2 linked regions of the Oreochromis niloticus genome follow. The protein of the gene in region 2 purifies or fractionates together with the protein of the main gene of each other region. This does not show direct contact. Links are inferred from orthologs where the notes say so. Each region holds a gene or a part of one and is shown on either strand. Other genes may lie near its edges. The genes, in order: cdkn2aipnl and xrn2.

What was found.
Region 1: the proteins of xrn2 (region 2) and cdkn2aipnl purify together in Homo sapiens (co-immunoprecipitation; 6 studies listed by BioGRID and IntAct, with this or other methods). This does not show direct contact. The link is inferred for Oreochromis niloticus from reciprocal best matches to the Homo sapiens genes XRN2 and CDKN2AIPNL.

The regions. Positions count from the first base shown.
Region 1 is NC_031975.2:22,884,715-22,901,018, reverse strand, and holds cdkn2aipnl (CDKN2AIP N-terminal-like protein), read left to right. Parts: upstream 1-9,454; 5' UTR 9,455-9,492; coding exon 9,493-9,704; intron 9,705-11,602; coding exon 11,603-11,708; intron 11,709-11,819; coding exon 11,820-11,828; 3' UTR 11,829-12,186; downstream 12,187-16,304.
Region 2 is NC_031980.2:23,312,703-23,328,772, reverse strand, and holds the start of xrn2 (5'-3' exoribonuclease 2), read left to right. Parts: upstream 1-8,319; 5' UTR 8,320-8,474; coding exon 8,475-8,549; intron 8,550-9,568; coding exon 9,569-9,696; intron 9,697-9,945; coding exon 9,946-10,057; intron 10,058-10,201; coding exon 10,202-10,313; intron 10,314-11,201; coding exon 11,202-11,260; intron 11,261-11,367; coding exon 11,368-11,457; intron 11,458-11,617; coding exon 11,618-11,690; intron 11,691-12,424; coding exon 12,425-12,475; intron 12,476-12,645; coding exon 12,646-12,803; intron 12,804-13,394; coding exon 13,395-13,469; intron 13,470-13,983; coding exon 13,984-14,117; intron 14,118-14,977; coding exon 14,978-15,035; intron 15,036-15,219; coding exon 15,220-15,327; intron 15,328-15,455; coding exon 15,456-15,500; intron 15,501-16,070. UniProt on the Homo sapiens protein: Possesses 5'->3' exoribonuclease activity. May promote the termination of transcription by RNA polymerase II.

The sequences.
Region 1 (16,304 bases), on a different chromosome or scaffold from region 2:
TTGTTCAGAGTTATCAACAATTAATAAAAGGAAAGGTATAAAAATAAATGCATGCAAAAAAAAAAAAAAAAACCAACCAATAACAAAAACGCAAGAATAAAAAGCAATCAAACAAACAATCATTTGTGTAGAACATCAGTAATGGGACGATGCTAATTGAATTGCTAAACGCTAAAGCTAGGCTAATATTTTTAAGTTAACATTAGCTTGTGCTAATTTGCTAATGTTAATATATTTTGCTGATAGCTAGCTATTTCTTAACAATATTTTACAGCTGATCAGCTGATTGTGACATTTACTGACTAAAATATAAATCATATACGACATAATTGCAGTGACATTTTACTTTGGTGCATACGCTACTAACCTGAGTGGCCCTTAAGGTGCACAAACACCAGGATTTGAACAGATGTGCCCAATTATTCGGCTCATAAAGTATGTATTCTTCCTGCTGTACTCTGCCAGTTTGAGTCACATGTTAATTTTACAATTTATTTTTTCTTTTTTAAACTCACTGTCTTACAGCCTTTTCAGAAGCACTCATTTAGTTGTAGATTGCAGTATTAGCCATCAAAATCATTTCAGGCTTTGACAATAGACTTTTTGATGGCAGTCGCCCTGAAAGCACAGTTGTAATTATTAACTTTAATAATGTTGGCAGTCATTTTAAGTAAGTCTTTTCCAGGGTTTGGTATCAAGCTCCTAGTGAGGCTTGTAAACCTGTTCTTACATTTATGTACCGTGTTGTAGCCTAGATTTTTAAAATTATTGGTTAGTAAATTTGCTTTTAACATGATTTCCATCTCTTGGATTCATTAGATCTTTATGGGCAAATACTTTCTCCTCAAAACTAGATTAAAAACACAGGGCACTTACAGGAGGCCCAGTTCTTTATTTCATTCTGCTTAAGTACATTTCAGGGATACATTTGAAGGCTTACTTTTTACCACATTATAGCAAAATGTTTTTCTAAACTCCCCTAAAGTTACCACAGTCTCACCATCTATTGACTAGTGTTACTGCACTCAACTTCCCCAGTTTTTTGGTCTTCCTGCACATGAGTTTCCCACCTTTATTTTCATGTGCCAGAACAGCTTTCATTCTCATGGGTCCAATTTGTACTGATTTGTGCCCAAAATTAACATTTTCCACTGTTAAAGTCCACCCTTTGGAACTCAGAGGGGTTGTAAAAATTAATCAGGTAGGTTTAGAAAAAGATTTTGGTTAAAAGCAGTTGCCTTCTTTCAAAGCACCCCACTGTGGACCACATCATAGACAGCATAAAAGAAGGATAAAAATTCTTGGCCCCAAAAAGTAAAGCCAGTGTGACAATAATTTAAACTGGCACTCTTTTCAATTAACACCAGGGAGCGAAGTCTATGGGACAATGGTCCTTTAACGTCACTTCTGTACCATGATGATTTTAGGTGCTCAGTCCCACATTTTGTATCGTACTGAATGAAACAGAACGTTTTGTGAATTTTTGGTCATTCTCAGTTTCAGAAAGGAGGTTTAACCAGTTCATTTGTTTCAAAACAACAAGAGTGCAAAAGCAACCATATCCAGTGTTCAGAATGGATTTGGGTGATCCCATGAATGCTATGTCCATCTTTTGTACTGTCTGTACACCATACAATACAAGCTAAAAAGATGCTTCCTACTGAAATACATTACTTACAAAACCGAACGTCATGAACAAGCATGAGAACTTTTCTATGCACTTTGTTCAAACAAATGTTTTATCTTGGGTGTGCTCAAGACAATTTACCTTAAATCTGTTGTGTGTAGCAGCAATATTTCTATTAGATGAAACGTCATAGTGCAACCATATTAGCTAAGTTGTCTCTTTGATGCTGTGTGCATCTGAAATGCTAAAGAAGTAAATTTGTTTTAAAAAGAATCACCTTAAGGTATTTCAGAAACTTCATAGTCATATTTACTGGTTTACCATTGTTGCAAATCACGCATGGTCTCAGAGTTGCATATAAGTTTGGGACTCCTGTGTAATGTTTTTTGGGTTCAAATCCCGGATGAGCCCCCATTTATGTTAAACCCGACCCGATTTTAAATTATATAATAAGTTAGCTAAAATAGCTGTGCCTCCATGAAAGCCTGCCTCAGGTATGCCATTATTCACACCTGATTAGGTGTGGTCAATTAGCAATAGCTAATTTTGCACTTTTGCACTGCCACTGCAAAGAGATTAGGGGCTGCAGAGGGGCATAACACATGTAATACTGATTTGCATGTTTTAATGTCATTTCAGCATTGAGTTGTTTGTTCACTGCCTGTTTTACTTTGATAATTGGTTTCTCTTGTGCATTCCAATGTGTTTTCCATGCACCTCACATTCTTCTGTTCTGGTTTTGCTGGAATTCTGTATTTTACTTAGGACTTTTCATCAGCCACAGAAAAGGCTTAGCTTTTGTTGAAGAATCACCCTGTCTGCGTTGCATTTGGGTCCTCTCCACATTAAACAAAATACAGCTAGTTGTATAGGTTTACAGAACGTGGACCTGCTGCTAATACAGGCAGAAATAGATTAATATTCTAACATATAGTACTGCTTATCCTCTTACACTTTTACTTTTAAATAACCTTTATATGCAGGAAATAATTGCATATTGTAGTAAAGCTGACAAATGTAGAAAAAGCTAAAATAGTGTCGTAGCAGTTCTGATCTTATGTTCATCATGACTGTTAAATATTGGTATTTATTAACTTAATGCAGTAACATCTCTGTTTTGCAGGCTGGGGATTTTAAGATGGGGAAAGCCGATTGATTCGGGATTCTCTTTGACGAGGGAGAACCACCTCTTAACCGGATCACCTCCTTACCCCGAGGAGCTGCTCAGAGTTTTCAGTGTGCCAGAGGAGGAGATGATACACAACTTCTTTCATTTCAGCTGAGTTCACCTGTGTTAAAGCACAGGACCGGAAACCCCGACTTCTTCGGAGTGAACCAGACTATGCTGACTTATCTGACTAAAGCTAGCTAACAGGCTACAAACAAGAGGAAATTTGAGCCTCAGGAAATCCCAGAGACATGTTCCTGGATTATCAGTTTAACATGAGGAGCACTCTAATTATGGTGGTTACCGTTCTGTAAAATAGTTACTATTATTTTGTGAACACTTTATTCTTATTTTATTTTAAACGAAGAATCTTCAGAATATACTAATTTAAACTAACCTGTGGTAGTATTGCCTAGTGTGTCTTTCTCTCTTAAACCCCTCAAACTCGGACTCTGGTCCCACTAACATTTCTAATATTCTGCAAACCTCAGGTGCAATATGTTTGCATCTGCCAATAAATATTTGTATGTTGTGTATCTCTCTGTGCTTCGTCTGTGTCATTTTTCACTTGTGAAGATAGCTTAGACTTGTTTGAGTCTTCAGCTACTTTCATTTTCATTTATAAATGCTTTATAAGGCATAAATAGTCCTCTCTTTAGACGAGGTTACACAAAATACATAACAACTACTAACAGCTTGATGATTGTTAGACATGATAAATTATGTAATGAACATGTTACACATCAGGTTATTAATTAGGATCAACAATAAACTGTATTTAGAAACTACATGCTTTATAAATGGTGAATTAAGCACTTACTAATAAATAGTGCTTAATAGTGTGTCATTATAATAAGTTGTTACCCAGATTCTCCAGAAACATAGAAATATGTTTTCTATGTTACGTTGTGAATAAAATATAGATTTCTGAGATTCTGTTTTTATTTCTACTTTACACAGCGTCACAGCTTTTTGGGAATTTGGGTTAGAGACTTATGTGGTATGACATGAAGCATTTATACAGTGATCGGTGCAACAGTGACAGTTATTTTGGGAGCCGTCCTGTTGTCCATTATCTGTAGCAGGCTCAATGCCACGGAAAAAAACAAATGTACTGTCAGTTTTCAAAACTTATGCTTATTTAATTAAAGACAGTGACAGCCGCAGAGTCGTTTCCAAAAGCACAGAGTAGGCAAAAACAAAGAATCTGAGATATTTAATTGTTTTCATCACCTTGGGACTCTGGACTCTGTTTTGTATAAACTACTTTGCTGTCGTTTCTCTTTCTTGTCTTTGGACTTTTGTTTTTTTTTACGGGTAAAAGTCTTTAACAAAATATGTCTGTGCAGCTTGCTGGTAAAATCGCTGATTATCATCCACCTACCACAGTTACAACAAACAATAACAGCACACACTTGCACACACACACACGCACACACACAGCATCAGCCAACATTACACTATTTTTCCATGACATAGGTTGCATTTGATTTTCATAACCACATATTACGGAAAATAAGATCAATATGTGAATACTGAAGATGACAATGCTCCTCAGAAAGCAGCTGTGGGTTTGTGTTACCACAGAGTGCTTGTGTACACATATTACAGACATGCACACTATCACGGCCCCGCTATCCATGTCAACTGCAATTAGGCCAATAGATGTGTATGCACCCTGAATATTCTTTCTTTAATTTTGAAACACTAGGTCAGGATTCAGGACCTGAAATAGCTAGCAGGCCCTACTGTTCTGGCATCACTACATGTCAAGAGCACTACTTTTTAATTAGTCGGGGTCCCAGGGTGACAGACTGCATCTCTCGGGTCCCAAGCCTAAAATGTTTAAAGCACCCGTCGTGTGTGGGAAACTAAAGTCAATGCAATGTCAAGTGGAGCCTAATTCTGACATTCCTTCTCAAAAAGTAAACCCCTTTTTCAGTGAGTTTAAATTTCATAATCTTCATTTAAGTCAAATTTTAACATTATAGAAGTTGTTCTCTCATCTACTTGGAGTTGTATAAATGTGGCTCATTTATATATTTATTATTTTTATATTCAATTATTATCAATTCAATTTTATTTATGCAGCGCCAAATCACAACAGCAGTTGCCTCAAGGTAAGGTAGACCCTACAATGATACATACAGAGAAAAACCCAACAATCATATGACCCCCTATGAGCAAGCACTTTGGCGACAGTGGGAAGGAAAACCTCCCTTTTAGCAGGAAGAAACCTCCGGCAGATGGCTGATATATAGGCCATCTGCCTATATATATATATATACATAGGCAGATGGCCGCCTACATACATATATATATATGTGTGTGTATATATATTTGTATATCAGCAGGTATTAAAATACTGAGACAAGTCATCTTGACCATGTCCACGTGTCCTGTTGAGTTGCTGCCATGCGATCGACTGGTTAGACGTTTGTGTTAACAAGCAGCAGAGCAGATGTACCTGATCAAGTTAGACGAAAAGATGGTTCAGGAAACATCAACATTTGAGTTAAAATAACAGCAGACAGTAAACAGTGGCCTCAATGACACTAGCCGTAGTGATGTCACTTTTTCCCTTTCCAGATGGGCAAAAGGTAATTTCAGTGTTTATCGAAGGGATTCATGTCATTTGAGCAGAAACACATGATGTTTGTGGGTATTTGCCGTCACAGATGCTGCTTTTGTTTTCAAGCACCTTCCTTGGCGAATCGGGAGATAAGGCATGAAATTCAATAGATCAGTATTGGCCCCTTTATGATAACTCACTCGACTGCGTGCAGTTTCTGAAGGTTTAACTTTTGCTATGTTAATAAAGATCGAACAAACTTCCCCATGAGGTGTAAATCCACTGACACTTTAAGGAGAGGGTTAATTCTTCCTCACTGGCGCACCCCCAGGTCTCTGGCTGAAAGGCCTACCTGTTGTCTGTCTTTCCCCAATTACAGCATTCTCCTGAGTAAGCATACATTAGGTGACTCATCAAAAACGGCTGTCTGCCAGTGTTGGCTGGAACAGTGTATTATTTAAGCATCAGTGTATATTTCAAGCCGAGAGGGAGAGAGTGAAGCCATAAACTTAATGGGTTAGTTCACTCAATAAAGTGGTGACTTGTATGACTTGGAAGCCACCCAGAAATATAACATACCCCGGAGTGCTGCTGGTGGTTTTTCTGTGGGAATTCGAGAGGAGGTGAAAGTGGATCTGCATGTACTTGTGAGTTTTCTTGTCTATAGGACTCGAGGTACATCTGAAGAGGCTACACTCAGTATTTAATATGGGCGTTCAGATGCGTGCGTTATACATGTGCATTTATGAGGAAAAATCCCTCCTCAGTGCGCAGAGATTGTGTGTTTTTGTGTTGCAAACTTAGCAGGCAGATGGAAGATTAAGACAGCACCGTGTTCCTTTGGAGTTTGCTCATGCCTCCGTGTTCTTTTGTGATGGTGCGTGAAACACTCAGTTCGGAGCAGCAGGAGAATGCAGCCTGTCAAGACCAAGTTTTGCAACCACTTGAAGTAAACTGACACTGCGTGGAAATAGAATTGCAATGTTCAAGGCTCCACTGGAAACGAGGTGAAGATAAAACATCTGGGAGGCGTTTAAAAGGCAAATAAGGGGACTGTCAGAAATCATTTTCAACTTAGTTATTCAGCAAATAAAGCCAATAAACACAGCCAGTGCAACAGCTTGACTCATTCATCACAGAGTTTGTGTTTCTTTATTATTATTTTTGGTTGCTCAGATATTGGAATTCAGTTTTTTTGCTCTCTTTTATATGTGGCGCTAACCTTGAGAAACCCACCAAAAAAATCAGGCTAAAAAATAAATCCTGGCACTGGCTGCTTGATGATTTGACCTCCTTTAAATTAGGGTTAACTGAGCAGCCATGCGCAAGTGAAACGACTGCAAAGAGCAGCCTGGCCTTTGATAAGTGCCTATAGTGTTCACTGCACTTCACAAGGTCCTTACCTTCACATAAAGATGACTCCATATTTCTTCTTCTTCTTCCCCACATCTTTTATCAGCTTCTCATCAGTGTTTCCGTCACATTAAATAAAATCCTGTCTGGTTCTGCACAGACGTTATTTCATGTTTGCATGTCTGAGTTTTGTTCCAACCTGCTCGGCCTGTTAGTCCCTTTAGATTGTGTCTCTCCGGCGTTCCTACGAGACAAATCTCATATGCTTTAGATGTTTACATAACCGGATACTCTTGGTGTGTGTGTCTTCTATAAATATTTGCCTGCCTATTGCATTCAGCCTTATAAAATTACATAACAACAATAATGGAAAACAAATGTATCGTTTTTCACTTTTCACTGTTTATCTTCTCAATCAATTCCAACTTGCAACTTCTCTTTGTGGTCATTTTTGCAGCCCTTAAGCCACATTTCAAATATATTGATTATTTATTACCATGCAGAGCATAAAGCTACTCGGACCAAACCCTTTAATCTCACTGTTATTAGCTGGATTTCGCTGTGCTCTGAAACGCAGCGACTGAGCAGTGTGCTTGTCTGTCTGTCCCTCTGAATTCATGTTGGCTTGCCTTTCTCTGGAATCCCTCTGCATATCAATGACTTCATGTCAAAACAAGCCCCAAATCCTCTGCTGTGAGCGAGTGAGAGCGTCATAAGGATGGAAGAGTCTTGTAGGCTTATGCAGCGCACATATCTGTGCAGACAGAGGGAAATGGAGACTGCGTGTGTGTGTCCCTGTGTGTGTTTGAGTATATCTGTGAGCCTGAATGACTGCCCATAAGCTCCTTTCCATAGACTGGAGGTCCAGTGTTTCTCTCTGATCATTCCTGGCAGGCTGGTCAAGTGCATAGAGATTTCACTCAAGTAAGAAGGAAAAAAAAACATGAAAGCGAGTGAGCGAGCATGTGGTGCAAACATTTCATTGACACACTACCTGCTCCGTGAATTTCAAACATGGAAAGACGGCACAGAAGGGGGGGGGAAGAAGCCCCGGGAAGCCTAAAGCTGTGTTGGCCCAACTACAGTCTACAGTCAGCTAATGTGGCTTCTTGGCAGCCGTTAAAGGCGGTGAGTGGCTCTCCTTAAATTTTGAGACTGCTGCACGTAAAAAGCAAAAACACGGATTCAATTAACATTATGGATGGCTTCGTTTCATTCATGCAAATCAGTGTCAGGGTCCAGGAATTACCACTTAACACGGAACACAGACTTATCCTTGGAAGTGATCTCATCTGCTTTGATAAGTCAGATGATTAGAAGAAATGCGAAGAAAAGCATTCCTGCCATGTAAGTGAATTCTTTTAATCACACTACACTCAGACCTCAGTAAATGTTCAGAGTTTTAAAAAATAATACTTTAATAAATGCTAACTTATTCTGTGCTTTAACAAAAAAAAATTAAAATATTTTTCCAACAAATTTAACAAAGAAATCTCATTTATATCTGCAGTCCCTGGGTGGAGTCTTTCAATAAACGAAATATTCAATACTTTTTTAAAAATAAAATAAAATAAAAAACAAGTAATAGTCAGAAAACAGTCATTTTCTGAGCTAAGATGAGGTGTTATGTTGTAGATTGAAGTACCAAAGATAAGTTTGAACATTTCTTAAAGCAATATTAAAACCAATAAAATCGTAATGACACTGTTTCAGTTTTTAAAAAGTAAAAAAATAACGTTGAAAAAATGATGTTTTATTTATATTATATATAATAAAATGTTTTTAAATATGTGTACATGGCAAGGCTACATTTACTAAGCCATGTCAAATTCTGTTTTTGCTCTTGTTGTTTTTGATTTTAGTTGTTACAGTATAATTTACTATATTATTACTTAATTACAAAAATCTGGAATAAATAAATAAATGCAGGAATTGAAACATGAGGTATAAAGGTGTCCTGTATCTGACCTTGAGGCAGAATGACTGAATACATGTAAGAGAAAGCTCTCTAGATTACCTGAGAGGGCTAACAATTACTGTGCATTACTGCCTGACTGTAGAGGGCCAAGAGTCCCAGAATGCAATAAATAAATATAAAATCAAACAATTAATTAAATGCATCGATAACAAATTTTAATTTGAAATAAACTTTGATAACTTGCCAGAGTGGTTATAAAACTGTATATATTTTAAAAGAACACAGGTAATTACATCTCTTTTTTTTCATTGTAAATACTAATCACCTGATGTCATCAGTTATGCTGCTGGCGCACTGTAAGCTGTGTCTTCTGCCCTCAGAAGTCTGGACTTCTGAGTGTACTTGCCAAGTGGGAAGTAACAAGTGTGCAAGTACAAACTCTGTGTACTTGTCACTGAGAAACACCCACTGAAAGAAACAACTCCACACCAAAACAGTGGGTTTAACTAGATCGGCTTTAGCCCCACTCCCCGAGGTGACGTTGACACAATAAATTCATGAACCATAAAATAATCAATTAAATGGTAAAATAATAAAATTAATTTTTTTAAATAAAATGAATTTATATGTTAATTTATTAATTAATTATTTCTTAATTATTGCACTCCATAGTATCTCTGAAGCACACTGCATATGAAATATTGAGAGTTCCTGTTCACATTTGGATGTAAACCACCGCTCTGCTCCACCACTGCGTGGCGCTGTGTAAAACAAGCAGGGCTGTAAGACGACTTCAAAGACCCGCTTGAAAGGACAGGAAGTCGCTTTTGTTGTCTTGGCCGAGGGAGAGCAAGATGTCTTCCCTGGACGTTCAGGATTTTATCCAACAAAACAGAGCTGTGGCCGAGCAGGTGGAGACATACAGAGGCTACTGGGAGAGCGACAAGCACTGGGAGCCCAGGCGGGAGTTCATCCTGCGGAACTTGAACGACTTTGAAGACTCGCAGCTGGACCACCTGCTCTCCCTCTCCATGGTGTGGGCCAACAACGTCTTCCTCGGCTGTCGGTGGGTAAACACAGCGTGCTTTCATGCCTCTAATTAAAGCCTGCTGACGGACACTTTTTCTAAGACAGCCGCTCCACAGCTCCCACAGCCCGGGATGACTAACCACTGTTTTTAAGTTTCGTCTTCCTTATTAAACAGACTAAAGGGTTGCTAAAGGGTAACAACCAGTGTTCTCTTTTCTCTGAAATTATTAGTTTGATTTTAGATATAGTATTTACTTACTTACTTATTATTATTGTTGTTGTTCCTGCTGCTTACTTACTATTTATTTACAAACTATTTAGAGATTTAGAGTTTATTGTTTATAGTGAGGTTTATTTTCCGCTGGTGGGCTCGCTGCTGCCCCCTGCAGCACTGGAGTCGTCTGCATCAGCTGCAATGCTACTCTGCTACATTTGCTGCAGATGATGCTGAGTTTGTAAAGATTTGTAAAGATGTCCTGCTGGATAAATTACGTGGTTATACTTTTTTTTTAATGGCCCTAAAATTCCTTTTTCTCTATTATGGTTCAGGGAAAAAATATAATGTATGTATAATGGAAATATCAATGCAATATTGCATTTATATCAGTATATCAGATGTTTGTGCCTGCTACTGGACAACATCCAGTCTTTCTTCACTGGAAAAACAGTCTTTGGTTATCAAGTGGGTCTCTGTCTTTGTTTTCAATTTTACCCTATTTTTGTTACTGTTTGTGGTGGCACCTTATGTTTTTATATATGGTGTATATGGTAAAAATTCTGCTACATAAGAAATTGAAACCCTAAGATTTAGCGATCCTCTAACCTCAAGCACTTGGCCAAAGTTGAGGGGGAAATCTGCCCTTAAAAATCTCCTCTGACTGTTTGCAGTGTGAGTCCAAGGAGAAATAAAAGGACACAGTGTTGTGAAAAACTATTTAAAATGAGAAGTGATTTCTTGATTCAAAAGGTCTGGTAGTATTCAGGTCTGGGTAACCCACATAAGTTCCTCATCCATTGGACCCTCACTCTCCAAACTCATGTTGAGACTGTGCGGGCAGATATAGCTAACCTTGCAACAGCAATCCCAGAGAAGCTAGACTACCTGTGCAATGTGAATGGGCTTCATGGTTCTGCCTCACGCTACTAGCAATTACATGGATGTTAGCAAAAAGCAGAACTAGGGTGGGCTGTCTTTTTGTTGCCTCTCCAGTGCACATGTCACTTTATTTTGCAACAAAGCAGGTTTCTTCTTCCTGACCAGATTGATTTACTGACATTTGTGATATACTGTGATTATGAAATGTATGCCTGACTTGATATGAATGTTTTGGACTCTTAGACAGAATCGTTTTTTTTGTTTTTCCAGTTATTTAAAAAAAAAAATCTTTATTTTTTGTTACACACCAAACAACTTAACAGATCGACTTGTCATTGTAGTAATCTGTAATTGCAGCCACTGGGGTCTGCGACTGGTATTAGCTTTTGGACAGCAATAAACCCACAAAATTGGATTTTCATTTCAGTGAGTTTGAGGGCACTCGAGGAGCAGCGCTGGCTGTTGAAGTGCATATTGGATGGCTTCTGTGATTACACCTTCTAAAAGACATTAACCCTCGGAATTGGTATAGGGTGCAATCATGCAAAAATGGCAGATAAAAGGATATCACTATTTCGTCATCCATAAGTTTGCACTCAAATGTGAATCAGAAGCAGGACTAAATTTCATTTATATGAAGGGAAATGTGTAGGAGGTGAAGAAATCATTCACATTTGTTAACTTTATCGAAGAATAAACAATTCTTCTCTTACCAGTATTATAGTTTTCTGTTGTTCAGTGATGTTATTTTCCCAGTGCACTATATTCTTACAGAAGAATATAAAGCACACAGATGAGTTACGGTTTAATGAAGTGTTATGTCTCATAATCGATGGCAGGTATAGCACAGAGCTGCTGGAAAAAGTGAAGGAAATGGCTGAAGGCATCGTAGTGGAGGACGCGCCGGTCTTCAAGACGAGAGATGAGATCGTTAAGAAGCAACAGGTATGTCTGTGAACACACACACACACACACACACACACACACACACACACACACACACACATACAGCTATAATGACAGTCTTTGTTAATGGATCTCTCTGCTCTGTCACAGGGTCGATGACTGGACCAGTCATGCTGGATCAACACAGACTGGATTCAGCTTTTATCAAGTCAGACTGTTTGGTTTTTAAAAAAAATTTTTTTAATAGTTTTACAATCCTGGTGTTTTTAATAGTCGTGAGGAGTTCAGACATCAAAAGACATTTTTATTTTGAGCGAAAAAACTGGCCTCTTCAGACTTTTAGCCTTTTTATTTGTGCACAAACAGCAGTGGTGTCTGCGGGAGTTTGTGAGCCCCACTGCTCAAGTATTTCAATCAGTTTAACTTTTTTAAAACATGTGTTTTTTAAATGTAACTTCAAACTAAAGATGACACTGATGTTCTTGTCTGAAGCACAATAAAGAACTTGTTTTTATCATTTTTGTGTTGTCATTGCTGTCTGTGCCCCCTCCTGGTCACATTGTTTCAACTACATTATGGAGCCACTCCATAGTTAATCATACACGGCAATAAAATACAAATACTACTACTTATAACTATGTCTGCTCAACGAGCTCCGACATGTAGAAAAGTGAACTTTAGTTAAAAGTAAAGCTACAGAGGTTAACATAAAAGCTGTTAACTTACTCTGGCACGGTGTGTTGGCAGCTGTCCTATTTTACATGGCAGCAATACCTGCAGCAAGCAGGGGTGACTTTAAAGGGTGCACTAGACCATATTTACTTCAAAGCTTTAGCAATATATTTTGCAGATTTCTCTAAATACATTTAATCAATATAATGTTTCAAAATATGAAATAAAAGTATAAAAAATAAAAATATGAAAATAAAAGCTTTTTTGGAGACCAGTGAAAATATAGGTCAGTAAAACTCTTGAGCAGCTGGCCTGGGGCTGTGAGGCTGGACACTCAATTATTATTAACATTAATTATTAACATGTGCGCCGTCAGAACGTCTGTTTTCTTCAGCAGGAAGCGTTGCAAAAGCACAGGGCAAGCCTCAGCTTTGAGAATGCTGATATGACTGCTTCGCTTCATTGCAACCACCACATTCTCCTTTAAAGGCTTACAGACACTCATACCAAGTGATTCACAAGCAAAGTTAAACACGCAGACATGCACTCAACAAACTGACTTCATCCCACAGATTCAATACTGTGAGAACTGTTTTTTAGTTCTACTAATATAAGAAAGCTTCCCAAGGGACTTTTTCACCTTAAGCCACAGTTTAGTGGCTTAACATTAACATTTTTGGACATTACTGTACTTGTGATTCATTTCTGCATTTAATAAAATTGATTTAATTGCCACACAAATACAATGAATGGATTTAGTTTTTGGCAATATTTACTATTGCTCATTAATAACAGTACATCTTATAGATTAATCAATCACTGCAGTACTAATCTCAAGTTTTGACGAAGCTTGCATTGATTTTGGGACGAGAAGCGTAAAGACAGAGGCTCAGCAAACATCAGTTTTCAGTTTCAGTTTTCAGTTTTATTTGTCATATGCAAGTTAGCACAGGGTCAACATCGCAATGAAATGTGTTTGACGAGCAGCGGTCTCTCAGCAGCATGATACAGTAGGAAAAAATATAATAAAATATAATATAATAAAATAAAATAACAGATAGAAAAATAGTAAAGAACAAAATATTAGAGAGACATGGTAAAAGAGAAAAGATGACTAAATATATATGTATCTATAAATATAAATATATGTACACTAGTGATTAAATAAGAAAATCTTGAAAAGAAATATGACGGGAGGGCAGATGGGATATTGCACAGGAATGAGCAGCAGAAATTTACAGTATTGCACTTTTTAAATATAAATTACAATAACAATAAAGTGAAGTGACCAGTGCAGATTAATCAGAGTACTTGTGAAGCTGCAGGGTAGCTTCTGAGTGCTGTGTTGTGTGTGTTTAAGTGTTGTGGTTGAGGTGTCGTATGGCTTGATGGTAGAAACTGTTTTTAAGTCTTGTAGTCCGAGCAGACAGACTCCTGTAACGTCTGCCAGATGGTAACAAGGAGAACAGCTGATGTGCTGGGTGGCTGTGGTCCTTGATGATGCTGTGTGCTTTACGGAGGCATCGCTGGTGATAAATGTCCTGAATGGCAGGAAGCCTCGTGCCAGTGATGTGCTCTGCTGCCTTCACCACCCTCTGTAGTGATCTACGGCTGCCGGCAGAGCAGCTTCCGTACCAAACTGTGATGCAGCTCGTCAGCAAGCTCTCAATTGCACACCTGTAGAAATTTGAGATGATGCTGGCGTTCATGCCAAACCTCCTCAGCCTCCTCAGGAAGTAAAGCCGCTGGCGAGCTTTCCTGATAGCAGTGTCTGTGTGAAGGGTCCAGGAGAAGTCCTCAGTGATGTTGACTCCAAGGAACTTGAAGCTGCTGACCCTTTCGACCTTGACACCGTTGATGTGGATGGGCTGGTGTTCCCTGACTGGTCGTTTCCGGTAGTCCACTATCATTTCTCTAGTTTTGCTGATGTTGAGAGTCAGGTTATTTTCCAGGCACCACTCGTACAGTGCCATCACCTCCTCTCTATAGGCCGTCTCATCGTTGTCTGTGATGAGGCCTATGATGGTTGTGTCATCAGCAAACTTGATGATGATGTTGGACTCATGTTTAGCAACACAGTCGTGTGTGAACAGGGAATATAGGAGGGGGCTAAGCACACAACCCTGGGGCGTACCTGTGTTAAGGATGAGTGATGAGGAAGTGTGCTTACCAACTCTCACCACCTGGGGCCTGTTTGTGAGGAAGTTTAGAATCCATCTGCAGATCGGTGTTCCCAGCCCAAGGTCGACGAGCTTCGTGGCAAGTTTTGAGGGGATGATGGTGTTAAATGCCGAGCTGTAGTCGATGAAGAGCATTCTTGCATATGTATTCCCTTTCTCCAGGTGGGTGAGGGTGGTGTGTGTTGCCAGGGCGATGGCATCCTCTGTGGCTCTGTTTGTCCGATAGGCAAACTGAAGAGGGTCCAGTGTGTCAGGGAGGGAGGAGCAGATGTGACCTTTGACCAGCCGCTCCAGGCACTTCATGATGACGGATGTCAGTGCAACAGGACGGTAGTCATTCAGACAGGAGACCACTGATTTTTTGGGAACGGGAATGATGGTGGATGCTTTGAGGGACGTGGGGACCACTGACTGCCTCAGGGAGAGGTTGAAGATGTTGGTGAACACCTCTGCCAGCTCGTCTGCACACACTCTGAGTAGCCGGCCTGGGATGCCGTCCGGTCCTGGAGCTTTGTGAGGATTGACCTTTTTAAAGGTCCATCTCACAGCTTCTGTTTTCAGAGTTAAAGTTGCAGCCTCACTGTCCTCCTGAGGGTAGAGGATCTGCTCTCTGTTGTCTGCATCAAAACGAGCATAGAAGTTGTTAAGCTCGTCTGCGAGAGATGCAGTGGGCTGGACACTGACTGTGTTGACCTTCTTGTAGTCAGTGATGCAGCGCAGTCCATTCCACAGTCGCCTGGTGTCAAAGCTGTGGTAGCTGGACTCCATTTTGTCCCTGTAGTCCTTTCTGGCCTTTTTTATGGACTTACGGAGGTCATACCTGGCTGCTTTATATGCATCAGCATCCCCGGAGTTAAAGGCAGAGGTCCGCACTTTTAGCTTGGCGCGAACGTCTTTATTTACCCAGGGTTTCTGATTTGGGTATATGCGGACAGTGGTTTTTGTGATGATATCATCCATGCACTTTCCAATATATCCAATGACAGAGTCTGTGAGTTCATTGATGTTGCCATCAGCTGCATCCACAAATATCTGCCAGTCAGTTGTCTCAAAGCAGTCCTGCAGGACCTCCTCAGCCTCACTGTCCCATTTGTAAATAACCCTGGAAGCTGGTTTTTCCTGTTTTAGTCTTTGTCTGTATGCAGGCAGCAGCAGAATGGAACAATGGTCTGCCTTACCAAAAGCTGGGCGGGGGAGGGGTTTGTAGCACTCTTTGAATGGAGTGTAACAATGGTCCAGTGTTTGATCACCTCTTGTGGGGAAGGAGATGTGCTGATAGTATTTGGGGAGAACCTTCTTCATGTTGGCTCTGTTGAAGTCTCCCAGCACAATAAAGGCAGCTTCTGGATTTTTGTTCTCAAGTCCAGTGATGATGTCATACAGTTCGTCCATAGCCGTAGCTTTATCAGCGTGTGGTGGAATGTAAACAGCTGAGAGGAGAACTGAGCTGAACTCCCTCGGGAGGTAAAAAGGCCTGACTTTAATGGTCAGCAGCTCGAGGCTCTGAGAGCAGTAAGTTTTTAAGATACACACATCTCTAGCCCACAAGGAGTTAACCATAAAGCACACCCCTCCTCCCCTTTTCTTGCCTGAGTCCTTCGTTCGGTCTCCCCGGTAAACAGTGAATCCATCCGGCGTGATGGCGCAGTCGGGGACGCTGGGCTCCAGCCATGTCTCTGTGAAGGCCAGAACGCAGCAGTTCCTGATGTCTTGTTGGTGTTTAATCCGTGCACGCAGCTCGTCAAGTTTGTTGTCCAGAGACTGGAGATTCGCGAGCAGGATG
Region 2 (16,070 bases):
CCTTCCTCTCTAATGTGCAGGTAAGGACCCCTCACCGTTGCATCTCACCAGGCTCGCTGCCAGGGCCGTCTCTCGCTTTTAAGTGAGCGCCTTAATTGAGACAAATTTAGCTCAATTAAACCGCTTTACCTCTGCCAAGAGCGTTTCAGAGCGGCGGAGCGGCCTTTTCAATTAGCTGCCGTGAGCAGATTCACCACTGATCCTGTGACTGTTTGGGTGTGTGGACTGTGAGAGCGCTGGAGCCCGCCGGAGTCACAGACCCGCTGCTGCTGCTGCTGCTGCTGCTGCTGCTGCTCCGTCAGCAGACCTGGGATGGCCATAATGGAGCTCAAGGACATTTTAACTCATTTAATAACACGAGTAAACAAACAGATATACAAAGGAATAAATAAACAAATACATTAGCAGATAAATGACCCAAAATTTTCAGAGTGGGGTTGTGCTGGCAGGCATTCAGGACCCCTCATTAACATGTGAGTTTTAAACCATGTTAGTGGGCTGGCGCTCACGGGGCACTGCTGCTCTGCTGACTGAAACATCTCAACTGACATTAATTTCTTAACAGACATTAATGGTTCCCAGAGGATGAAATGCACTCACATTTTCCTTTATAATAAACACTTATCAGTGTATTAAGTGGTATAATCAGACACTCAGTGGAAAGATTATGGGGCAAACCGCTGAACCGCGCAGACCAACTGCACCCACAGTCACAATCAGGATGATGTAAGAAACTTTCAGCAGCAAGTGTCACACGACTGACTCTTGATCTTTCCCTGTGACCTTGTTTTTTCTTTCTTATGGTGAGGACATCAGGGCATTGTCCGACGTGGACAAGTGTGACCAAACTGTGACAGAGAGAGGGATTCTGAAGGGATACACACAGCTGGGTATCCCACAGGCCAGGGAAGGTCAGTCACAGCCAAATGCCTCCAGAGGATAAGATAGGTGCTGAGAAACCAGCTCAGTGGTAGGAGTGGGATCCAGTCCACCCATAGATGGGATAATAAGCTGGCCACAGAAGGCGATAGACACCAAAGATGTCAACATTCACAACACTGGAGGGTCACCGATTGGTTTGTGAAGTCCTGCTGTGAAGATGAAGTTCTTACCTTTCTAAAAGCTGAAGTCACGAGTGTGGGGTGAATCTGACTGGCAAACCGAAGGACACCACGGGTTGGTAGCCAATGAACATACAGCAATTATCCTCCTCTCTGAGTCCAATGAGCATCATGTTTTACTCTCTGTGATCTTAAACTTGTAATTTGACCCATAAACTCATCAGAAAAGTGTTACCGAGGTCATAGAAGCAACTGTTTTCCCTTAGACCTCTTTACAATCAAATGTTTTTTGCTACCAGAGGAGTCGCCCCCTGCTGGCCATTCACCTTTAAGCTATGGACTCGACATCCATCTTACATGTCCAGCTTGTTATGTTCCCCGTCGTCATTTTTCCGGCCCTCCCTTCTTCGTTTTTTAAAGTAAATACTAACATCTAAATCTGAAATCCAGTTTCTTCCTTTTCCTGTTCAGAAACATCAGGACCAGCCCGTCATCGCTTCATGTCATGTTACGAGGAGGGTCTAACCTGAGGAAAGCGGGCTGTGCCTTTGTTGATGTGTTGTGAGTTCTAAATCACAACACATCAACACATCACAAATTGTGGGGCGGAGCCAAGAGGAAGCAGGCTTTAACAGAAGTCCAGATTTGTATATCCCACAGGTAGCAGGGATGGGAATGATGTAGTCTAGCCTCTTTGATTCTTTTAAAATTCTGGTGGCTGTATTTTTAAATAACTGGAGACGGACTTTTGGCTGTTTATGACGATCTTCACTATTAAAATAATGAAAAATTTCCATGCGGTACAAGAACTCAAACGTTCTTCCCACCGATGACCGTAACAGGCAAACAAATAATCAAACAGTAAAAGTAAAAATTCCGATAAAATAGGAGGAAATAAGATGCATAAAGCTGCCTGTGAGCGCTTCAGAGGAGATGAAAAACGGAAACCCGGCAGGTCTTTATTCCTGCAGCACAATGGGCAGAAACAGACTCAAAGAGGCTCAGATATGAAGAAGTGTGCGAGCCGCGGAGGACACATCACAACCTTGGAGACACAAATTGCTCCGTTGTACGATGTGAATTCCTGCTGAGCTTTTCATGAGTAGGCTAAAGGAATCAGCTAATCAAAGGCGCACTAACACGTCCAGCCAGTGTCTTTGGACCAACGCAACAGACCTTTTTTTTTGTCGCGCCTTTATTAAGCTTCTGTTTATCAGATCATATCTAATGTGTGCTGGAGAGTGAAAGTGTGAATTTAACACATGAAAACACAAATCAGCTTCTGGATCAGACGCTGAAAGCAGAGGCTGAATGAGATAAAATGATATTTGAATGTAAGTAGGACCTACAGCGACCTGGTGTGAAGTTCATGCTCAGACACTGCTGATTGTACCTTCAGACTCTGAGTGAGGTTCCAGTCTAAACGAGCAGAGGTCTTGTGTGGTGTGATCACTTTAGCTGTTTGTCTTTGAAGTGATTGTTCTAAAATAAAGTCTGTGCTTAAGGTGTTAACACAGCTTCAGAAATCACTTTAGGCTTTGGTAATGAACCGAGGTGCCAGCAGGGAGTTGTGGAAAAAAACACCGACACGTGGTCTGAAAAACACACAAACGACTGTGAACAGTTTTTAGTGTCTTTGTTTTTGTGTGTCCGCCTGGTTTTCTGAATCTTCTTTATCCATTTTCAACCTAAAAGTGGTTCTTCTGTGATTCTGTAATTATTTTGTCTTAAAAATTACTTCTACACCTCTTTTTAACCTCCTTCTGTCTTTTTGAGATCTTGTAATAGCCCTTTGTGGCTGTTTCAATCTCTGTTTTTTTTTTCATTTTATTTTCATAATTTTGCATTTTCCTTTCATTCTCCATCTCCTTGAGTGATTTTTTTGCCTTTATTGGTTATTTCTTCGCATTTGTCTATTTTTAAACATGAACTATTGGATATTTGGGTTCGTATGTACATCTCCATCAGAAAAGTCCACAACTCCAGTGCTGGTGTGGAAATGATTTTGTGATTTGTTTGCATCTCTTTGCTCCTTTTTTGTCTCTTTTTAGTTACTTTGCATCTCTCTGAAGTCTTGTGTAGCTCATGGTGTCATAGTGGTCTCTTTAAAGTCTCTTGTGTTTTGGTAATTTTGTAAGTAGACATCCTTTTACTGCCTCTGTTTGCAGTGATTTTACATCTTTATTCCTTTATTCATCTCTTTTTAGCTGCTTTGCTTCCTGTGTTTTCTTTTTGTGTCTCTTTGCAGCTGTTTGTGGTAAATTTCAGTAGTTTATGTCTCTTTTGTGGCTTTTTTTTTGCAACACTTCTTTCATCTTTTTGATAATTTTCTTCATTTTTTAGCAAAAAATTTAAACCACCACATCAGACAGAAGCTCTGGACCCGGGGAGCTTTGGTGAGAACAGTATTTTACACCAAATACATCAATGGGGCTTGTCTAAACATATGAATGAAATTAGTCTCAGAGTTGGTTTGAATTCATCCTTCAAGTTTTAGCTGCCTCTAATCCCAGTTTATAAATGTGCCATGTAGCATTATAATATAATAATGTAATGTCATAATCAAAAGTTAAAGAATGAAAGTGAAATTCACATACACAAACACGTGTTTGTTTGGCAAAAGGACACACGTTCTTCACTCGAGTGCAGCTGCAGATACTTGTGTTAGAAAAGCTCTGAAGCACTGAAGTACTGTTCCAACTCCTTTACCTAAATAAAACAAAAGTACAGGCTCTGAAATGTATTCAGCTTATAGAAGTAAGACGTAGCTCTTTGAAGGACATTCTACTTTTAATCATCAGCTGTTTTTATGCAAAATTTACCGACCACTGTGATTTTCTCTCCTAATTGTTGTTAAAAGTTTGTTTCTCTGTCACAAACATCTCTTTGATTTGTACTCGCGTTCCCTGCACATGTTAAAGTGCGTCTCTTGACCTGACTTTCTCCCCTCACCCCCAGCCAGTCGTGGCCCCTCGCTGAGCCTGGTTCTCGTGGGGATTTCTTCCTGTTAAAAGGGAGTTTTTCCTTCTCACTGTCACCAAGTGCTTACTCATAGGGGATCAACTGTTTGCATTACTGTATGATGTTCACCTTACAATAATCTGCACCACATCACAATACCGGTAACTTGTTCACTGTTGTTGTGATTTGGTGCTACATAAATGAAATAAAATTGAATTAAATAGAAACACATTTGTCCGAATGAGGCTCAAACTGTCTCAGATGAGAACTGCCAAACTGGTATTTTTCCAACATTCATTAATCGGACATAAACTTGTTCTCACAAAGTTTTATTTAATTTCACACATTTTTTGTCTTTGGTTCCCACTGATGAATGACTTCACTCAGTTCAGTTCAGTCAGTTTAATGGCCGTACTGGGAAATTTGGTTTGCAGATATGCTCTCATGAAATCCATCAACAATATAAAAAGAAGAAAAAACAATACATAACAAATACAGAAAATTAAATCCACATCCAAAAAACTCATAAGATATAATCCTCCAGTAAATATCAGTATAATTTAAAAAAAGGTACAGCTATCACAAATTGATTTTTTTTTTTTTAACACTATTGCATAGAAAATAAAGGAGTTTTTTTGTCCTGCCACATTTTACTCTTCATGTTCTGTATCTGCAGCCTGAAGCAAACAGTTCAAATTCTCTGTGCAGGGGTTCGGTCTGGCTCGTCACATCTTCGCCGGTCTTTTGCACTTCCTCCTGCTCATAAACAGCAGGTAGTGAGATCTGTAGGACTTTGCTCGAGTTTATCGTGTCCTCGGTTCTAACATTTCCAAAGCAGTCAGTAATGGAGAATATTAAAACAGAGTGATGCTTATAGCCTCTCTTTAAAACAGTATCTTGATGAGTGCCTTCATGTGACGCGTTTAGGGGACATCTGCAATCTAGCTTACACTCTTCCTGTGACAGCAATGCATAAAAACCCATCTGGCCTCAGGTTGCAGAGCATAGCTCATTCACAGAAGACACCTGCTATTTACAGCTACGACTAAAACGGATGCAGGACTGTTTTTGCTTTGTTTCTGTTGCTTAAATTAGTTGCAGCTGAGATTTTTAGAAGTGGTTCAATAACATAATTTCCCACTGCCTTGTTGTTTACTCTCTTATTTACCATTTTGATTAGGTGGAAGTACAGTTGTGAATATTCAGTGGAGTTTTTCAAACTGCACTCTTGGCTTATAATAAGCTAATTTCATTCACTGTTTTGACTGTACAGTTTTATAGCTCTTAATGACTGCATTTGGAGATGTAGAATAAGTTATACAGTAGAATTTCCAATTTTAATATGATGTAGAAAAGAAAAAAAGATGTTGAACAAAGGTAAATAATTATACGTGGACTTTTTACCTTGTTTTTACAAGGCACTGGGATTCATTTACAGAATTTCTGTTGTTGAATTTATGTGTTGGAAATCATCAAGGAACAATTATTTCAATTAACAATTTTTATGCATTGAGATTTCTGCAAAAGAAACACTGTCATCTGTCCGTTCACTTTCTGATGCTTATTGGAGTCCAGGTAGTGTGGGGAGCAGTATAAACTGAGAGGTCCAGGCCTCCCTCTACTCAGCCACCGCCTCCATCGAGGTGTTCCGAGACATGTGATCTCTCCAGCCTGTTCGTTTTATGTTTTCATGTCCCAGACCTCCTCTGTCAGACTCTCTGAGATTTAGCAGCAGCTGTTCCTCTAGAACAGCTGGAATAAGACAAAGTAAAGCTGAACCCTACTGTGAAGCTCCAAAAGAAAAGATTGGAAAAAATAATTACATATGCCCTTTTTTAAACATGCATTGGGATATAGAATCTTTACTGTTGAACCTGTAGTGTAAATAGCTTGATTAAATTTACTGTCCATGGACACATACAGGTTTTTCTGCATGATCAAGTCGAATTTCATCTAGATGTGATATCCAGATAACTCGGGCGATGATCCACCAGGTGAGGGCGCTCTTCCTCTTTCAGTCGCCTGCATGCGTGTGGAATATCAATCCAGAGAATCCCCTGAACAATCAGCTCACAGAGAGATGAGATAAAGACTGAACCTTCACGTTTCCATTTTTTTTCCAGCTCTTCGAATGAAACATATTTTTTTAACTTCTGAAATGCTTAAACTAAAACTTCTGCTGTGAGATTGTTTTGATAAACCAAAATTCCCACTTTATCTCAGCAGAACAACTTTATGGAAATCAGTCAAAGCCCAGAACGAGCGACCATTTGTCCATGAATTCAGCAACTCATCGTGTGCAGGTGCCGGAATGTATTCTTGTGTCATACTCCCGAGCTTCACCTCCGTGCGCTTTCACATCTGCCATTTGCATCAGATTTCACTTTATCTTCTCTATTTCTCTCCACAAACACTAAAACGACGCCTCCGTCCTATTACCTGCAGCTCCAGCGTAAATGTTTATGGAAATGGCTCGTCGGAGCAGGCCAAGTGTTTTCCATCAGCGGCTCTTTGCAGTAATAATACTGCAGTGTTGATGTCAGACCCACCCTGCCTGAAGAGGGGAGGCTAATGGCCCCTTTCCCCCGCTGCATGAACCAGTGAGGAGAGGAGGGAGGGTAGAAAAAATCTAATTCACCTTAAATGTGCTGCTGCAGGGCTGGGAAGCGAGAGGGCATCTGTTCAGAGAGTCCCCATTAAAGGAACATCATGTAAGATCAACCACAGCGCAATTATAGGGAATATGGACACGAGTGAGAGTCTGCGAGGATCACACCTCTCACACACCTGTTGGCTTTTGGTGGTTTCTTCACAGCACTGTTTACATTTCAGTCCCCACTTTTAACATGAAAACTCAACTATAGAAGTTATTATTATTATTATTATTATGTAATATTTTATATGAACAAAAACAGTGAGTGACAGTGCACATACCCCTCAGTGAAAGTACATGTTTATAACAATATTAAAATTAAAATTCATAATATGTGACAATAATATTAGAGTAGTATTTGCAATATCAAAATGCATAAATTTACATATAAGTCTGCTCAGTGTCTTAAACTTTACATTAGAAATTAAATATGAGTCATATTTGTTATGTATTTTGTGGCTGTGGTTTTCCTTCATTTTTATGTTGGTACACATATTTAAATTGATAGTAAATGTTTAAATATAAATTTAAAAAGCTTTTATTGATATCCTTAAACCATCCATAAACTCTGTCGTATAAGAGCTTATCAGTGTCTTGTAAGGTATCAATAAAAACATAGGATGTCATTATTAAAATTTGTTGTACAAAATGTTAGATTTTCAGCATGACCAAGTAAAGCATGTCTTATTTCATTTAATCTCCAAATCGTAAATAAACACAGCCATTAATACAAATGCACGACAAATAACATTCTAACATTTTACATCGCACATCTGATGATGTATTTGTGCTGTGAAATATACACAATATAAAATACAATAAACACATTTAACAGATAAAACAGATAACTGAACAAAACTAAATGTTTTATTTTGAAATATTAGAAATTATTAAATGTGTTTCTTAAAGTTGCTTATTTGTCATTTTCTCTGTGTTAAAAGTTTTAAAGTAAATTATTAATTCATTGACTGCATTAGAGAACTTTAGAAAATATGAACGTGTAGACAGTTTACAAAGTATAACAAAGAACAAACTGATAAACATGAGAAGAAATAACAACGGCTTATACTGATTTGATGTAAATGAAATTAAAAAGTAATAATTTTATAGAATTTTGATGCTTTTCTGCCTGAATATTCAATAAATTAACTGAGAACATCCTACAACTGTTTTGTAAAAATAAATAAATGAGACATTTTGAACAACAAAACAAAAAGCATGTGAATAAATAAATATAGAAATATAATAATAACAAATAGACTGATAAAGAACAGCAAAAAATTATGATCTGTGTGGCAACAGAAACTTATCGCTGACAAGCTTCAGAGACTTTCTCAGGAAGCAAAGATTGTTCAGGAGTTGATTTATACTCATGTTAATTTTAAAATACCTGAAGCTCTGCATATTAATATCCCTAATAACAAAAATAAAGTATTAAGGAGGAAATATAGATCCCAGTTTTCAACATTATATTCCACTTACATAAGTGGTGAATATAGTCCAGGAATAAATATTTAATTTATTAATTTATAATCCAGGTGAATCAGTTGTTTCCATTATCAGGACCGTTGGACGCCTGCAGTACCGTCTCTGACCCATGGGGTCACTGTGGAGTTGCGAGACTCTTCAGAATGCTCCGGAAATATTCGACATAAACCGGAAAAGGTACACAATGGCTACGGCCAGCAGCATGTAGCCAACGCATCTACAGTTACGATCTTGTTTTAATTAAGCTGTTTTAATCATTTCGTACTTGTTCGTATTTTAACCGTTGAAATAGAAACGACTGTTTACCGGAGATGGGAGTTCCGGCGTTTTTCCGTTGGCTGAGCCGAAAATATCCATCAATTATTGTGCACTGTGTGGAGGAAAAGGTGAGTGGTTAGCTTTGAAAGCTAGCAGCCTGTCCGAGGAACATTATCGGGAAGCTTTTTAATACTCTTCTCGCCCATTTGACTGCGTTTTAATCGCTGCACACAGCGGGTGAAATTACTACGGCAATGTGAAATGTTTTGGCGAGAGCGGAGACGATAAATAAATCAAAGTTCGTGCAGTCTGTGTTTACTTACACGTGACACTGTAAACAAAACTGCTGCTGTGTGAATGTTTGAAACGCACGCGGAACTTTAACCTGAGACAACAAACACACGAAGTGTTTGGATTCGTTGTTTTTGTATTGTTAAAATTAACAATAGTTATAATTATTTTACTGGTCTGCTGTTAAACAGTACTGTTGAAATGCGTTGAGCCACCCCTCGTTTCTTTATGTTTTGTTGCCAGGAAGCCAGAGTTTCTTTAAAAGTGCTCTTGAGCAGCTGTTCTCTAGGTTTTCTGAAGGTCTTTCAAGGTTTATCTTTGGACATTGGCTGCTTTTGCACTTTGTTTTCAATTCAGTCCTTGTACCTGAACATTTTCAATTTTTCTTCGTTAAGACTCTGAAGCAATCGCGCATAGAAGGAACCTAAGTCAAGGGATGGAGCAGAGTTTTCTACACATAATGGACAATTAAGCATAGATCCAATTTTGAATTGTATCTGTATGCTGTTTGTTACTCCAGCCTGTTACAAAAACAGATCATTTGTTCCTATGACTTTAGCTGAATCTGCAAATAAATGTTATATATCCTAGGCATTTTTTGCACTAACAAGCTGATTCACAAAGAGCTATTTGCCATAAACATTGCGTACAAAAGTAAAAAACTGTCTACAGCATACATATCCTACGTAATCACAAAGCTTTCTGACATCTGTGCTGTAACCTGACATGCATGTCTGTAGAAATGTCGCTAGGTTCTGTGTGAGTGCAGCTCACAACAGCTGAGGATGTATTTTTGTCCAGAGTTGCAGCTCTGTTGCAAATAAGGTTATTTTTTTGTTTCCTTTCATGTTAACAGGGGAAGGAGTGTAATGGAGTTCGTATTCCTGTTGATACAACAAAGCCAAACCCCAATGAGGTGGAATTTGACAATTTGTACTTGGACATGAATGGGATCATTCACCCCTGCACGCATCCAGAAGACAAGTAGGAACCGTTCTCAGTTTAATCTGGACATAAAAGACCGATCTTCTGTGTTTACAGCTCAGTTCATTTCTGATATAACAGAAACATACTCCCTGTGAGGTTTTTGTTTCCAGTGTAATTTATTTGGAAATTAATAATTTAATTGAAACAGTCTTTTTTTAAATTTGATATAATTATACAAATTTATACATATATAAAAGTTCATAAATTAAACCATACCAAGTCTTCACTTTGTCTCTTCCTCCACAGACCGGCTCCCAAAAACGAGGACGAAATGATGGTTGCCATCTTCGAGTACATTGACCGCCTGTTCAATATCGTGCGGCCGAGGAGAGTTCTCTACATGGCCATCGACGGAGTGGTAAGCTGCTGCCATTAACAGAAACGTGCAGCTTTTTTCACTGATGAGCATTTACAAGTTTTACTGTGAGTGAAGTAAACTTGTTTTCAGTGTTACGCCAATCTGACAGTAGCTTTGATGTAAACTAAAGTTAACTCTGCCCAGGCTCCGCGTGCCAAAATGAACCAGCAGCGCTCTCGACGGTTTCGTGCCTCCAAAGAAGGGGTCGAGTTGGTGGAGGAGAAGAGTCGCGTGAGAGAGGAGGTCATCCAGAAAGGTGTGTTTTATTTGCCTCTTTGACTGCTGGACTGAAAATATGGGCAATATATTTTAATGTCATATTCAAAACGCTGTAATGTTAAATGCGTCAAATTTGATGCATGGGGTTTTTGTAGGTTTTTGAGGGCTGTGCATCATCTGTGTGTATTTTTTCCCCAAAAAACCTAAATTAACTGATTTTTAAACAATAAATTGCAAAGAAATGGCAGATATACCAAATATGATCAAAATTAAACTTGCATATGCAAATTGATTAATTGATTGTTTGATTTTTTTTAATTATGAGAAGATTTATTAAACACTCCAGTTGAAAAAAAAAATCTTCTGCCAATTATTTCATAGTTCAGGCATTAAAGGGGAAAGATTAAACACTGTAGACACTGTAGACTGTAGACTTTTTTTTTTTAAACAGGAAGTTCATATTTAAAATTGTGTCCATCTCTCAGGGCACACGTGGAGACAGATTGTCATAGCACAGTCCTGCAGTCAGATCCTGAAGCAGCAGAAGTCCTTAATTAAAGATTCTCTAGGCAGTCTTTGAGATGAACATTAATAATGCAGCAAATATAAATTTGCCCTATACAGACAGTAGTGGAGCAGTGATATCCTGTGTGATGAGCTTTCCTTTTTAAAAAAAAATTTTGGTAAATAGTGTGGCGGCTTCCTCACTGTGAAACCTCCTCAGTTCTGTTTTTTTTTTTTTTTTGTTTGTTGTTTTTTAAACCCGATTTGATCAATTTCAGCTCAGTGTAAAAGTCTGCAGAGTTTTATTTCCCCTCTCTTTCTCTCTGTGCCCAGCTTGGATAGGGAATACAGCCACATGGGGGTAACTCCGCCCTCTAGTTTCTTCTCAGTATAATAAGATTTTTTTTTTTTCCATCTACAGGAGGTTATCTTCCTCCGGAGGAGATTAAAGAAAGGTTTGACAGCAACTGCATCACCCCAGTAAGTTTACTCCATCCAGTGAAATCTTGCCTAACGTTTATTTACTTGTAACAACGTAGTTACAGGATTTGTACTTGAATGGATGATTCAGTGACTTTTCTCTGCAGGGAACAGAGTTCATGGACAACCTGGCTCAGTGTCTGCGATATTACGTGGCCGAAAGACTCACCAACGATCCAGGATGGAAGAATATTGTTGTGAGTCTAATTTATGGCCAGATGTTACCTGTCCACAACTATTTCTTTTATAAAATAAAATGACTCAGTTTAATCATCCTTACTTTCCTCTTTTTTGTAGTTTTCAGCTCGTGGTATTTTGCATTTTCAGGCGCTAATCTTCAGTTTCTCTGTTATCCAGGTCTTCCTGTCTGATGCCAGCGTCCCAGGTGAAGGTGAACACAAGATTATGGACTTCATCAGGAGACAGAGAGGTACATGCATTAACACTCTGAGCAATTCCAATGATTTAATTAAAGGGACCTTTTATGATTATTTCACCTCCACATTTTTATGGTTGGCTTTAATGAAGAAGCTTTGCAATACTTAATGTTCAAAATAATCTTCATCTTTCACTGGGTCTTGGTGTAGTGCCTCAGTGTTTTAGGTCCTCCCTCTTTAAGCCAACTTTGTTCTGATTGGCTGTCGCTCCCAAACTGAAGGTTTGTGTCTGAGATGACCATATTAGGGATGTCTCATCTCGGTGACATTGCACAAAGTCAGCAGCAGGATAGATTGGAGCAGTCTGAAGCTGAGCTTTGACATATGTTGACCTCATTGTTTGAATCCTTGAAGCCATTTTTTATGTAAGATCGTGTTTGTGATAGAAGAAAAGAAAAAAGCACAGTAATTCCCCTTGAATGCAGCTGTACTGCAGAATCATAAATATAAAAAGCGAAAATATGGGATGCTTCTGAGTGGATTCATTTTAAGTACTCTGAACTGTAGTGACAGATTCACAGTTCAAAGTTAAAGTGCTGTTGATTATCAGGTTGACTCTTTTATCTTGAAGTCAAATTTGACAGGTGACCTTTGATGACCAAACATCAAGCACGAGTCTTCACTACACACACACACGCACGCACACACACACACACACACACACACACACACACACACACTCTGTCTGATCTTCTGTTGACTCGATGTTTATGGTCGACTCTTGCAGGTCAGCCCAACCATGACCCCAACACACATCACTGCCTGTGTGGAGCCGACGGTAAGCCTTCAGATTCGCCCTCTTAAAGTCAGGATAAGTGCTCTTAATAGAAGCCATTTACCTCCTCTGACCCAGCATATTCAAGAGATCTTGTTTTGCTGTCTGAATGACTAATTTATATTTTAACCAAGTAGTCCCCACTTTGACCGTGTGTTTTCGTTGCATGTCAGCTGACCTGATCATGCTGGGCCTGGCCACGCACGAGCCAAACTTCACGATCATCAGAGAGGAGTTTAAACCCAACAAACCGCGACCTTGCGGTCTCTGCGGACAGACGGGCCACGAGATCAAGGCCTGCCAGGGGATGCCCAGAGAGAAGCAGGGGCAGGTGAGAAACACGACTCTCAAGTTTACGTCCCTGTTAGCACTGCTGTCTGAAAAAAACAAAGCTTTAAAGCGTAGTTTGAAGATCCACGATTTGAGTGAAAGTCTTTGACTGGAACATTTGTTTGTGCACATTGCAAAATGAGCTGTGCATGGTTTCAGTGTAGGAGCTGTTTAAATGGGCCATGTTTGTTGTCCTACAGGAATTTTAACTGGAACCACCTCTCGACCGCGTTTGTGGTGCTTTTTGGAGCATTTTAGTAAAATTACCTGATAGTTGTACTATCACGCTGACCTAGAAGTTTGTGGTTTGGTTTTGCTGAATGAGATTTTAACATTTTATCAGTCTGTTATTATGCAATTAGCATGTTTCTATATCTTTGTTACGCCTGCACAGTTTACGGGTGAAGCTTTAAAACTTCATAATAACTTCATAATAACTTAGGACTCCACCTCTTGTCCAAATATGGTCATTTCTGGCTCAAAAAATACTGCTGAAAAATAATTGATGTTTGATGTCCCATTGCTGGCATTTGCCATTTAAAGTGCGCAGTATAAACTCTGTCAGCGGACTGAACCTATGTCTGTTTTACAGCATGATGAGTTTGCAAACACGATGCCGGCGGCTGAGCAGGAGTTCATATTCATCAGACTGTGTGTTCTGCGGGAGGTCAGTCACTCAAACTCAGCTTTCTTTCTTTTTAGTTGTTTATTTTAGGGTCAAAATCTCACCTTTTGTTCGCAAACATGAAATCGATCTAAAACGATCAAATTTATGTGATCCAACTGGAAGGGTTCAATGAGTTTTACAGAAACAAACCCAGTGTGTTGCCTTTGTGGTGCTTAAAATGATGGTTCCTAACCTCGGGCACCTGTGAAACAAGTTTGAGGAAGAGTAAGAATATGAAATAATGTTTTGAAAATTAGTTACATGTGTTTAATATATTCTGTTCAGTGATTTATAGGTCAGCTTTGCTGTAAGATTTCAGCCTTACCTTGAACATTTTCTTTGAATCATCAGCTTTTCTTTTTTTCTTAGAAGTAATCAAAGACGGACTGTAGAGGAATGTTCTGCCTCTATCTCTTATGAACAGCATTTGAACTTGAAAGCAGGAGCTAAAGTGTTGCTTCATTGATAAAATGACCTTCTCAATCATCTCCATTAATTCTTATGTTTTCTTTAGTACCTGGCCAGAGAGCTGACCATGGCCAGCCTGCCTTTTCCCTTCGACTTTGAGAGGAGTGTAGATGACTGGGTCTTTATGTGTTTCTTTGTTGGAAATGACTTCCTGCCACATCTTCCGTCCTTAGAAATCAGGTGAGCCTTAGTTCATCGTCCAAAAACTGCTTTATATAGTTCTTTCATCAGGGAATCAATCTGAAACATGCTGTTTAAATGTGGTGTCGATTCAGGAAGTGGTAACAGGGATGTCTGCAGTGAAAGGTTATTCAAGAACTTATTACGAAGCGCTGTCATAAGTTTACTTTTATAATACCCAGAATGTACATACAGTTACTCACCATGATGTAAAAGGGGAATCAGAGAAAACAGTAGGCTGACTTATTTAATTATTGGGTTACAAATAAGCCACAAATTTCTGTCTCCTCCAAGACTTTATTCGGGTGAATTGATTTTTATATTTTTATTCCTTATCTTATTAGAATCCATCCATGTTTTTTCACTTGATAAATAAATAATAAATTTCAAATAAATATAAAAAAATCAAGTGATTTAAATAATAGATTTAATGAAATATGTAAAAACATAATAATAATTAAAATATAAAAATGGGCAAATATGTAAACAACTGAAATGAATAAAATTAAAATTAACAAATGTCCTGGAGAGAGTATTTTATTTATGTATTTATTTATTATAGGCTGTAATTACAAAGCCACAAGTTCATCTCATAGCTAATCAACTGTCAGAAATGTTATATTAAGTGCTGTATCCACTGTATCTCTATTATTATCTTTATCGTGTTTTTCATACTCGTATTGTTTTAAAGCTTTTTATGCTGTTATTTGTTTGTGCAATATACAGAAGGTGGTTTTTTTTTCTGTTGTGTAAATAAAAATGAGATTTGTATGTTCAGTCTTCCTTCCCTATTAATGAAATGAAAGTTGAGGAGCTTATGTTTGCGTCTTCTTCTCATGGTGTTTTTTTGTTTTCCTCAGAGAGGGAGCGATAGATCGACTGGTCGGAATCTACAAAGACGTTGTTCACAAAACTGGAGTGAGTGTCATCATTTATCTGAGCTCTGCAGGCAGCTGTGTCCAGGGTTTTTCTTTTATCTCAGAGGTTTTAACCAATGCTGGAAGAAAAATGATATCATTGTTATATATAGATATAGGTATCATTGTTTTTGAACAATTGCACTTAATGTGTAGAGTCACCCTGTACATGCGTGTTTCTGCAGGGCTACCTGACACAGAACGGATACGTCAACCTGGAGCGAGTTGAGATGATCATGCAAGCTGTTGGCGTTGCCGAGGACAACATCTTCAAGAAACGCAAAGACGATGATGTGATTTTCATAACTTTCTCTCCTCAGATTTAGACTTTTAGACCTGAGAAGAAGACGAGGAAATGTTCGATTATTTCTGCTCTTTAGGAATCTATTTTATCGTTCACGATGTCCTCTTCTTTCTTTAGGAAAACTTTAAGAGAAGAAACAAAGAGAAAAGAAAAAGAATGAAAGTGAGTATGATGAAAATGATGCTGATATTTTGGCTTTATAGTTTAAATTCATTTTATAGGATCTTTGTTGTAAACTTCTCTTCTCCTCTTTGTATCAAGTAAACTTTTCAGGTGTTTCTGCTGCTAATGTTTAGCCTTTATTTTCAATGCAGAGTCACCCCGAAGGTGCAGAAAACTTAATGTATCATTTTCTGCCTAATCAGCAGTATCACTTTCTAGTTCGAGTTGAACTCAGATGGAGAAGTTTATATCAAGAGTCTCATTTTCACGGTTACTAAAGACACTATAAAGCTATAAACACAGCATGCAATTAAAATGAAGCTGATTTAATCAGTGTGAATCAACTTCACCCAAAAACAAAGCCTAGAGTAGAAGTCAAAGTGTGACAGTGTTTCTGTTTTACTTACGCATGCCACGTTCCTGATCAGTCATCGAGAGCTGCTGCTCTTAGCATTTCCACTCATCCTGATGTTCCCTAAAAGTATTTGAAACTACACAGGCTTTTTTAGTTTTGAGTTGTGATAGTTTCATTCTTAAAGTTATGCCCTTGAGTTGAGATATTCTCTCCAT